Linked DNA regions of Schizosaccharomyces pombe. The protein of the gene in region 2 interacts with the protein of the main gene of each other region in a pairwise test. Each region holds a gene or a part of one and is shown on either strand. Other genes may lie near its edges.

What was found.
Region 1: the proteins of psg1 (region 2) and ima1 interact in a protein complementation assay, tested with the Schizosaccharomyces pombe proteins (one large-scale study listed by BioGRID).

The regions. Positions count from the first base shown.
Region 1 is NC_003421.2:1,887,288-1,892,833, reverse strand, and holds ima1 (inner nuclear membrane protein Ima1), read left to right. Parts: upstream 1-1,969; 5' UTR 1,970-2,361; coding exon 2,362-4,209; 3' UTR 4,210-4,731; downstream 4,732-5,546. Other genes in the region: SPOM_SPCC737.04 (uncharacterized protein), read right to left, coding at 1-737; qcr7 (ubiquinol-cytochrome-c reductase complex subunit 6), read left to right, coding at 4,879-5,292. UniProt on the Schizosaccharomyces pombe protein: Inner nuclear membrane protein that specifically binds to heterochromatic regions and promotes the tethering of centromeric DNA to the SUN-KASH complex.
Region 2 is NC_003423.3:3,824,678-3,828,481, forward strand, and holds psg1 (protein psg1), read right to left. Parts: upstream 1,650-3,804; 5' UTR 1,538-1,649; coding exon 1,447-1,537; exon of another isoform or gene 1,397-1,446; coding exon 927-1,396; 3' UTR 501-926; downstream 1-500. Other genes in the region: DSIF transcription elongation factor complex subunit Spt4, read right to left, coding at 1-276; serine/threonine protein kinase (DDK family) Spo4, read left to right, coding at 2,501-3,494, 3,617-3,784.

The DNA.
Region 1 (5,546 bases), on a different chromosome or scaffold from region 2:
GTTTGTCCTTGGAATGAATAAACGTCTCCCGGTCGTACCAAGTACATTCTAATATTGCCAATCCGCTTTTGTACGCACCAAAGATGAAATTTCGTGTACTTATTGGAAGTGACCTGCCGGGACACGTAGATGATCATTGCTCTCCATAGGGAGTCCTTCATGTCGTCAGTGTAATAATCGTATAGTAAAACATGTCGAATTAATACTGGCAAGCTATAGTTGCCGGTAGAAAAATGCATCGAAAGGCTTAATCCATCTACTCGATTCTTCTTTAAAAAAGCCCCTAATCGTTTCTGCACCAAAGGCATATCTACTTTGAACTCGTACACCTGTTCCTGCATCGGTGAATATTCAGAAGACACTTGCTCAACACTTTTGAGATATAGTTTATCCTGTCGACGCATAACAATATCCACTAACCCCCCTAAAAACGGATTCTTTATGAGACCTTTATTTCTCCCAGACACTACTACGATACCCAAGCTTTTACCTGTTAAATTCTCGATGGATAGATTACGATCCAACTTGGATAACCAATCCTGACTCGTAACATTAATATTCACATCGCCCGTAGCCTTAGCAGGACTGTTGTACTCGGCTTTGCGAGATTGATAGCCCGGATCCGATTTAAAAAACTGCTGGATTTTCCTTGTAGTCTTTCTCAAGAAAGAGTTTTCCTGACCTTCATCATCAACTTCTCTCAAAATATCCAAACCCGATTGATTAGATATCGACATATTGTCGAATGTCGGTAAAATACTTTGAAACTTTTAAAACTTCGAGAATCGTAGAAAAGAAGAAAAAGGATACCAATATCCAGAATCTCAAAACCACAGTGCGTCCAACTTAAAAATAAAAGGTAATGAAATGAAGTAAAAAAAAAAAATTATTAAAATTTGGTTCTTTCCAAAGGGCTTTGTTTCCTGTTAAATACTAAATATGAAATCGTTTATCTTAGCTTAGCCATTTTGCCATCTTCATCATGCTTTTCCTAACAACGCTCCCCAAGCCACGTAAAACATCAACTTTCGCAACTCGTCCTATTTCAAGTTTACGAAGACATCCAATTTCCTAATCGTCTCTACCCTATAATATTTTGTATAATCATGGTCTAAGCCATTTCATCGTAGCGATGAGCCTCTCGTAAGTTAATTAATGGCGCAGCATATCAATTTTAATCAACTTGTAATAGAATAGAGATGATCATGCTGTCTATTGCTTATAGTTACAAGACTAGATTTCCTTTCTCAACATGCAATAAGGATTGAAAAGTAAAAATGAACTACTTGTATGAAATTTTCGTTTTCGTGCTTAATTCATGATTATGACCTTTTGGAGTCAGTGACATACACCGTTTCCATTGACAGACATTATTGAATTTTTTTTTTACAATGGGGCAACAGTCAATGTTGGCGCAAGCTTAAGATGCAAATGCAATCTTTCATTTAAAAGCGGCTTGTTTCATCAATACATTTGACATTTAACGATGGCTTGTAGGCATTGTTGTAGACATCCACTCAGCCTACATTTTGTCAATACTTTTCTACACAACTTCTCAAACTCGTTCCTTTGTAGCTTAAAAATTAAGCGAACTTAAAAACTATTAAACTTTTTGTTAAACGAATTATTTGCATAAAATACCAAAAAGATTTTTTGTTGACTTTCACCTAACAAATTAAGAGCGGTTGGTTTTATTAAAAAGAAAATTTATTAAGATATTTCTCATTGCATTCCACTTCAATGCGTCGTAGAGCATATCATAAGTAAGGCTCTAAAAATAAGCCACAAACACTGATCGTTCTTCTGGTACAATGGTTCAAATTTTTTTTTTCTAGGAAGCTCGAAAAAGAAAATACAAACAAAAAAAAATTAAACAGCTCATTTCTTCAAAAACTCCTTTTATCCTCAATTTGTTTGAACTTTGTTCTGACAACCCGCTACGAATTGGCTTGGGACCCTGCTGACGGTCGGCCTTTTCCCTATTCTCACCACGAGCACCGTGGGGAAACTGTATAGTCGAAATCTTCGAGTTTTCTTGCTCAACATTTCAAGAAAACTTTTATACTATTCAAGTGTATCTAATTGTTACTTCACTCGTTATTTAGTACTTCTCTTTTACTTTGTCAAGCAGCACAAGTGTTTGATAAAGGTCATTCTGTATAAGGGGTCCTCTGTACCATTACACCTTGTACCTTGATATAAAAGATATTTACATGCATTTTATTTCCGTTAACTCACAGAATATCAGTTGTTTGGTTTTCTTCTTACGTGTGCTGGTTTGACTTGTTGTTTCCCTTTTTTTTTTTAAATTTGCACACACAGGATTCTATGAGAACTTTGCATTAAATGGTATAATGGGAAATGGAATCTAGCCGATTGTTTACACTTGGATTGGGAAATTCCGATGATGGATTGAAATCCACTTTTGGTGATAAAACAGTAACTTGTTTTTATTGCAACAAGAAGAAGGAAAAAATTAGAGACGGAACGTCTACTTGGACTTGCTCAATTTGTGAAGCCACCAACCATATTGATGAGAAAGGTGATATCCTGGATTATCGACCTCCAACCCCAACTCAAGACAAGGGTGTTGGTCCTTTTTACGCGATACGGGATTTCCCAAGCAGTTCTTCCTTTCAGAGCCCCTTTTGTGAAAAATGTCAAATGAACCAACTGATTGTGAATCGGATGCTTGCTGATTATCTGCCAGACTCATCACATCCAGATTATCAGGCTTATGAGAAGGCATTACCAGAGTATAAAAAATCTATAGAAGAGAAATTTCCCATTGTTTGCTCTGAATGCTATGACTCCGTTCAAGACCAACTTGATGCCAATGATTATGAAGCCAAAAATCAGGTTTTAGGATATTGGCTGCAAAAGTCAAAGGAACAGCTAAACGCAAAAGTCCCCCATCACTATCCAAAAGCTTCTTTTGTTCTTTGGTTACTTCGTGGATTTGGTTTTTCGTTTTTCTATTTGCAATCGATTGTGTGGCATTTGTATCATTCTATGATAATAAGCTTATTACCAGATGGTATTCGTAATTTATTTCTAAAAGCAATCTCTTACTTCCTATTAGATGGATCCTCTAGCAAAATTTTTTACTTTAATTGGCTTGGTTTTTTCGTTGTCTTTTGGAACCCGTATTGGTACAAAATGATGGACAATCCATCTTGGGAGCTTTTTGGGCGGGATCAGTATATCCAATGTCAGGCACTTTATCTTATTATCCGTTTAACTTGCTTGTATCTCCTTTCATGTTATGAGTCGGAAATTTTGAACTTAAGCTCGGATACCAATCTTGAAAGTGATTTTTTACTCCGTCAAATACATGCAGCCTTTTTCTTTGTTACCATTTGTTTTACATGGATTAGCATCTCATGTTTAAAGCCAAGTCCTCCTCCAGAAGTTCATTTGACTGGCGAAATTTTGAAACCACGCAAGAAGCGTCAGGAAAGTACATCTTCTGTGCATCGGATAGGAAAGGAATCGAGTGACAGAAAAGATGGAATTAGTGGGCAGAATAAATTGCAGCAATTTGCGACAATTTCAATTCTGAATAATACCAACGCAACGTCTCATTTGGGAAATCAGTCTGTTCGTGAGAGAGCTCCGGAGGAATCCCCTATGACTTTTCTTCAAAAAAAAATGGCCGCCCTTCCAACATCTAGTCCTGTTCGACCGATGCTTAAACCTACTCTTCAGCTTCAAAATTCTCCTTTATCGAAACTGGTTCCTCAAGAAGTGGGCAACAAAGTAAACGATTCTATTCATACGACGTCTAATCAGCCAAGTAAATTTTCCCTGAACCCTTCCATATCTCTAAAAGGTGATAACGTGATAGAGAAGAATTTACCTTTTTCCGTGTCTACTTTAAAGTCCACTGCAAAGAAAGATACTGGTAAAGCAGGGGATGGTCAAAATCGCGAAATTCAAAATGAGCCAGTGAGCCTTGAAAGTCATTTTAGTAAGTCTTTAGCCCTTCAGAACGATCCAACAGAAGTTATTCAGGTGAAAAACGTTCTTCACCGGAATCGTCGAAATGCAAAGCTTCTCATTGCTTTCACAATTTTGTTCCTCGTTGGGTTAATTTGCGGATGGCGTTTGAATCGTTTTACTATGTTCATTTACTATTTATGCATATTGGTGTTAGCCACATATTATGTTATGAAACACAACTTTTATCCTTTAAGAAAGGTGGCTTGATCTGGTTACTATTTAAAGAAGTGGATGCAAAGTAATATGGAATATATTCTTTTGCAAACCAATCATTCATTAATTTATCCAATTTTGGAATAAATTTCGTTACTAATATTGCCAGAGGCGGTTATGTCGCTATCATTTGTTTAAAGTTTTTCAGCTCCTTTCTGGCAACTCGACATATTCGAGCTAGCGCATTCGCACAAATGGGATCCAATATAAATTTACTTTTTTTTTCCTATTAAAGCTATATAATTAAGTATTTTTCATACTAACGAGTTTTATTTGATAAATTTCATTCGTTTCAATAGGTTAGTACTGAAAGAGAACATGTAACCTGAGCAAACTTCTGGTTCATACGAATACTAGCAATGGTGCATTCCCGAATATATGTTAGACACGTCGTTAAATTAGTTTAGGTTATAAAATCGTTAGAGTTAAACAATAACTTAAGAGAAATGAGCCGAGAATACTAGGATATTCAGATTTTCATTACTTTCTAATTCCGCTCAGGATTCTATGTGCAGGTAACATCAGGTGACCGAAGGATTCATTGGCATACTATAGGGCCATGAGATCTTACCTTCTTCCAATATTCAAAACTAAGAGTTTTATTGATTTCAGTGCAAATTTTGTAGTGACGAAATTTTTTTTTGCTGAAGTGATTGTTTAAGTATGAAACCTGTGTCTCTTGCCAAGTATATTCAAAAATCACCATTTTTGACGAAATTGCTTTTACCCATCTCCAATGCCTATGTGCATTTGTCAGGATACCGTAAATATGGTCTTCGATACGACGATTTGATGTTGGAGGAGAATGACGATACTCAAAAGGCGTTATCTCGTTTGCCTAAGATGGAATCCTACGATCGAGTCTATCGTATTCGCCGTGCCATGCAACTTAGCATTGAGAATAAAATTTTGCCAAAATCTGAATGGACAAAGCCTGAGGAGGATTACCATTACCTCAGACCTGTTTTAGCTGAGGTTATCGCGGAGAGGAAAGAGCGTGAGGCCTTCGACGCTCTCATTGTTAAGAAACCCGAGACTCAAGCCCATGCAACATCTTCTCCTGCTCATGCTCATTAAAAGTTTGCATGTCCTCCTTTAATCCACTTATTCCTCTCATGAAAACCGACAAGAAAATTAAAAGAGTAGTAAACGGATGTGAGAATTTTATTTTCTAAGTAACCCCCAACTCCAATTTCTAAAAAGGAAGACAATTTATGCACGTATCTTATTTCATCGGTTATATCAGTCGACAAAGTACGTGGAAACGAAAGTTTTTATATTGCTGTTTATCTGTACTTTGACTTTACTATGTGTGCGATTAATTTTCTACG
Region 2 (3,804 bases):
TCTGCGACGCAAAGATTCAACTACATCTTCGTTTAATACACCTTGAACACGAGTCGCATAGATTCCGGGAGTAAAAGTATCGATTCTCTGCCATCTGGCAACCCAAGATTCGGTGGGACTCATCATTGCCATTATTCCTTCAAATACTGGCGAGGTAAATGTTTCCACGTCGTCTACACCATCGTTCGGACAGCCTTTGTTAGCAAAAACACTATGAGGCAAAACAATTCCACAAATGAGACATGCTCTTGATCTAGTCCTATTTAGCTTATCCATGCTGTGAGGTTTATACAATGCAAGTGTGTTTGGTTATGGTTGAGTTACAAACACGAAAGAAAGTGCAATACCTATCAAACAAATATTAATTATAAATGAACCAGAATATCGAACGAAGCTGCTTAATAAAACAGTAAAAGATACACATTTTGTATTTGCTAGCTAAACGTTTAATGTTGCGATATCAGTCTCTTAATTACAATTTTAACCATACAACTCACAAGTTCCAGGAAAACAAAAATTTTATAAAACTAAATTAAACAATAAAGTCTAGCCATCAGAACTAAAAAATGATGGCCTCATTATTACAATAAAGGAGCATGCGGTAGCGACAATTGGAAAAGTTGTGAGATAAGAATGCAAAACTACACACCCAAAGTGTCAATTTGGGTAAATCTAATAATGGTATTTTACATGAAAAGTACCTTAGATAAATAAACATGTGACCCAAAAGCTGTATTGGAAGCATGCGTGATTAAGGAACGAATAATGGAGTAAAGCGGACAGACAAGGAATGGTGAAAGAGGCCATTGAATTTAAAGTTAAGAAGCAATGCGTATTACCTTCCAATTAATAATGGACCATTTACTCTATAGAAACAGTTCTGATGAATGAGATAGTATATTTTTTGGCGCAGAAAAGTAGAAACGCTAATGCTTTCTATATGAAGACATTTCCAGCTCTTTCTCGTTTTTTAAAATCCTTCTTTCTCTCCTAGTTGCAAAATGAAGAAATAGAACGATCAGTATGCAACAGGATAAACCAACGGATAACCCAATTGCAAGTTTCTTGTCAATCGGGTTTACAGAAAATGCAGGGGAAACATCCACTACCATCTTCCAGTAAAACGTGTTCGCTAATAGGACCTGTGGACCCACATATACCGTGCTGGCGGTACCATTTTGAGGAACAGCAACAACTCGCGCAGTAATGTTGTCCATCTTCATAAGCCATTTCTTATCTATCTTTACCATCCAGTAAGTTTGGTTGGAAGGAATAACACCACTGCTCGTAATCAATGTGTTATTGGAGTCGGCATATTGCAAAGCAATTTCGACAAACTGTTCAGTGGGTTGTTTCCATTTGACAGCATAAGTAAATCCTCTAGCCCATCGAGAATCTTAAACAAAAGTCAGTTTTACAATACTAAAAATTAAATAAAAAACATACCTTCAGCAGGAGTGATGAACTCAAATTCAGCCCGAACAAGATTGATAAAAGTAAGGATTAAGAATAAAGCAGATCCTAGAAAGAATTTCATTTTGTGAACCCGAAGTTTTCTTTGTAGCTTAAAAAAAATAAAAAAACGGTCTTCTCTAACGTGAATCTTACAATGTCTTTAGCATAGACTCAGTGATACGGCAATTGTCTGCGGAAGATACATCAACAGCCAGGGACGGAAGTGTAAAATTAACTCGTACTCGTTAATGCGATATCATTGTATATATTCGAATGATACTGTTATCGTATTCAACAAAAAAAATTAGTAAATCCTTTTTAGAGTGGAAATATATGAGTTGAAAATGCTGTCATCAGAACCCAGATAACTTTACACTAATAAAATAAATTTCGGTTATTCGTTTGCCGTATCCGCATGGCTTAAAGTATAGAAAGAAAAAGCTATTTATAACAGTCTAGCATATAATTATGTTGGAAACGAACTGCAGTAGTAAGCAGTAAACAATAAACAAAAACCTTTAACAATGTACAAGAAATAAACAGAAAAAATAATAATATTAAATTAATTTAGTAAAGAATCAACCAAGTGTTGAAGAAATCTCAAAAATTGGTTATGACAGGTGTGCTGTTTATTGTTTACATACTAAAAAATTTTGATAAATTATGCTTTCGTTCTAAATAGGACTCTAAATGTTACCAGTTATAGAGCTAAAGTAAATTTTTTTATAAAGGAAATATATGTAATTTAAATTACTAGCTGGTCTAGTAATTTACTTTGACACTGTCTACCGTTTAATGATGATCATGGATTGAAAATTTGTATAAACAAATTGGAGTGCTTCATTGGCATCATTTGTTTACATTTTCATTTGCTTTGGGCCGATATAGCAAAGCTTAGGGAACAAAAAGTAAGTTTTGCTTAGAGGGAAATATTTGGGTTTGGCGAAGTAAACAAACAAACAAACTATTAATGAAAATTGTGCCTCATCTAACAGCCCGCACTTTACCAAACAAAAGGCGACTAAAATAAAAATTAAAACAGGAAATGCTTTCCATGCTATTACCTTTCGGAAATTCAGGTGTATACGCCAGTGATGTAGATCGAGAAGATCGACCAGAAATTGCTAAATTGGTGCAAGCATTCCCTACCATTGAAGAAGACTATCATGTGGTTAAGTTAGTAGGAGCAGGAAGTTTTAGCAGCGTCTTTAAAGCGGTGGATAGACATTTCGATAGCTACGATAACTCCTACTGGATATCATCTCAAATAGAAGATCAGATGCCCCATGACAAAACCAAGAGACCAAAAAACCATTTTGTTGCATTGAAAAGAATTTATGCCACCGTTCTTCCCTCAAGAATCCAAACTGAACTTGAGATGCTACATGAACTACGAGGCAGTGATTGTGTACTAAATATGATAACTGCTGTAAGACATCAAGATCAAGTGTTAATTGTACTACCGTTTATACAACATGCAGAGTTCCGGGACTTCTATATGAAATATTCTCTTCCAGAAATTGGTGCGTACTTAAGAGACCTCTTGAAAGGGTTGGCACATATAGATGCAAAGGGCATAATTCATCGAGATATCAAACCAGGTAACTTTGCTTGGAATCCTTACACCCAAAGGGGAGTCATACTTGACTTTGGATTAGCTCAATGGCAAGAGGCAGATGCACCTACAGAAAATTGCTGTGTCGATAAATTGAGAAAACTGAAGCAAGAAGGAAAATATTACGATTATTTTCCATTTGAGAAAACGATAGCAGATCCTCCAGAGGGTTACTTGCTACATGATCCAAGGCCTACAAAACGTGCTGACCGAGCCGGAACAAGAGGATTTCGAGCGCCTGAGGTATTGTTTCGATGCCAAAATCAAACATCCTCAATTGATGTGTGGTCAGTGGGAGTCATTTTGTTGTGTTTTTTAACACATCGATATCCTTTTTTCCGCTGTGAAGATGATATCGATGCAATCGTAGAATTAGCACATATCTTTGGAAGAAATGGCATGTCAAACTGCGCATTATTACATGGTAAGTAGTTATTAAACACTTGAGCGTAAAAGTTGAAAAAACGAAGAGAGAAATCGTTTTCTAACCAATGCTTCAAATCTTTTTGAGACAACTTTTGAGGTGCTAACTTGTATTTCTCTCAGGACAAATTTGGTCAGATAACATTCCGACTCTACTAGATCAAAAGCATAATTGGCTAGACCTAATTGCTAGCATTACGAAGAATGATGAGAATTTAATTTTAGAGACAAGCTCAGATTATCAAGTGGCTTTAGCCATTGACTTGTTGGACAAGTTATTAGAATTACATCGTACGTGCAAATCCCAAAAA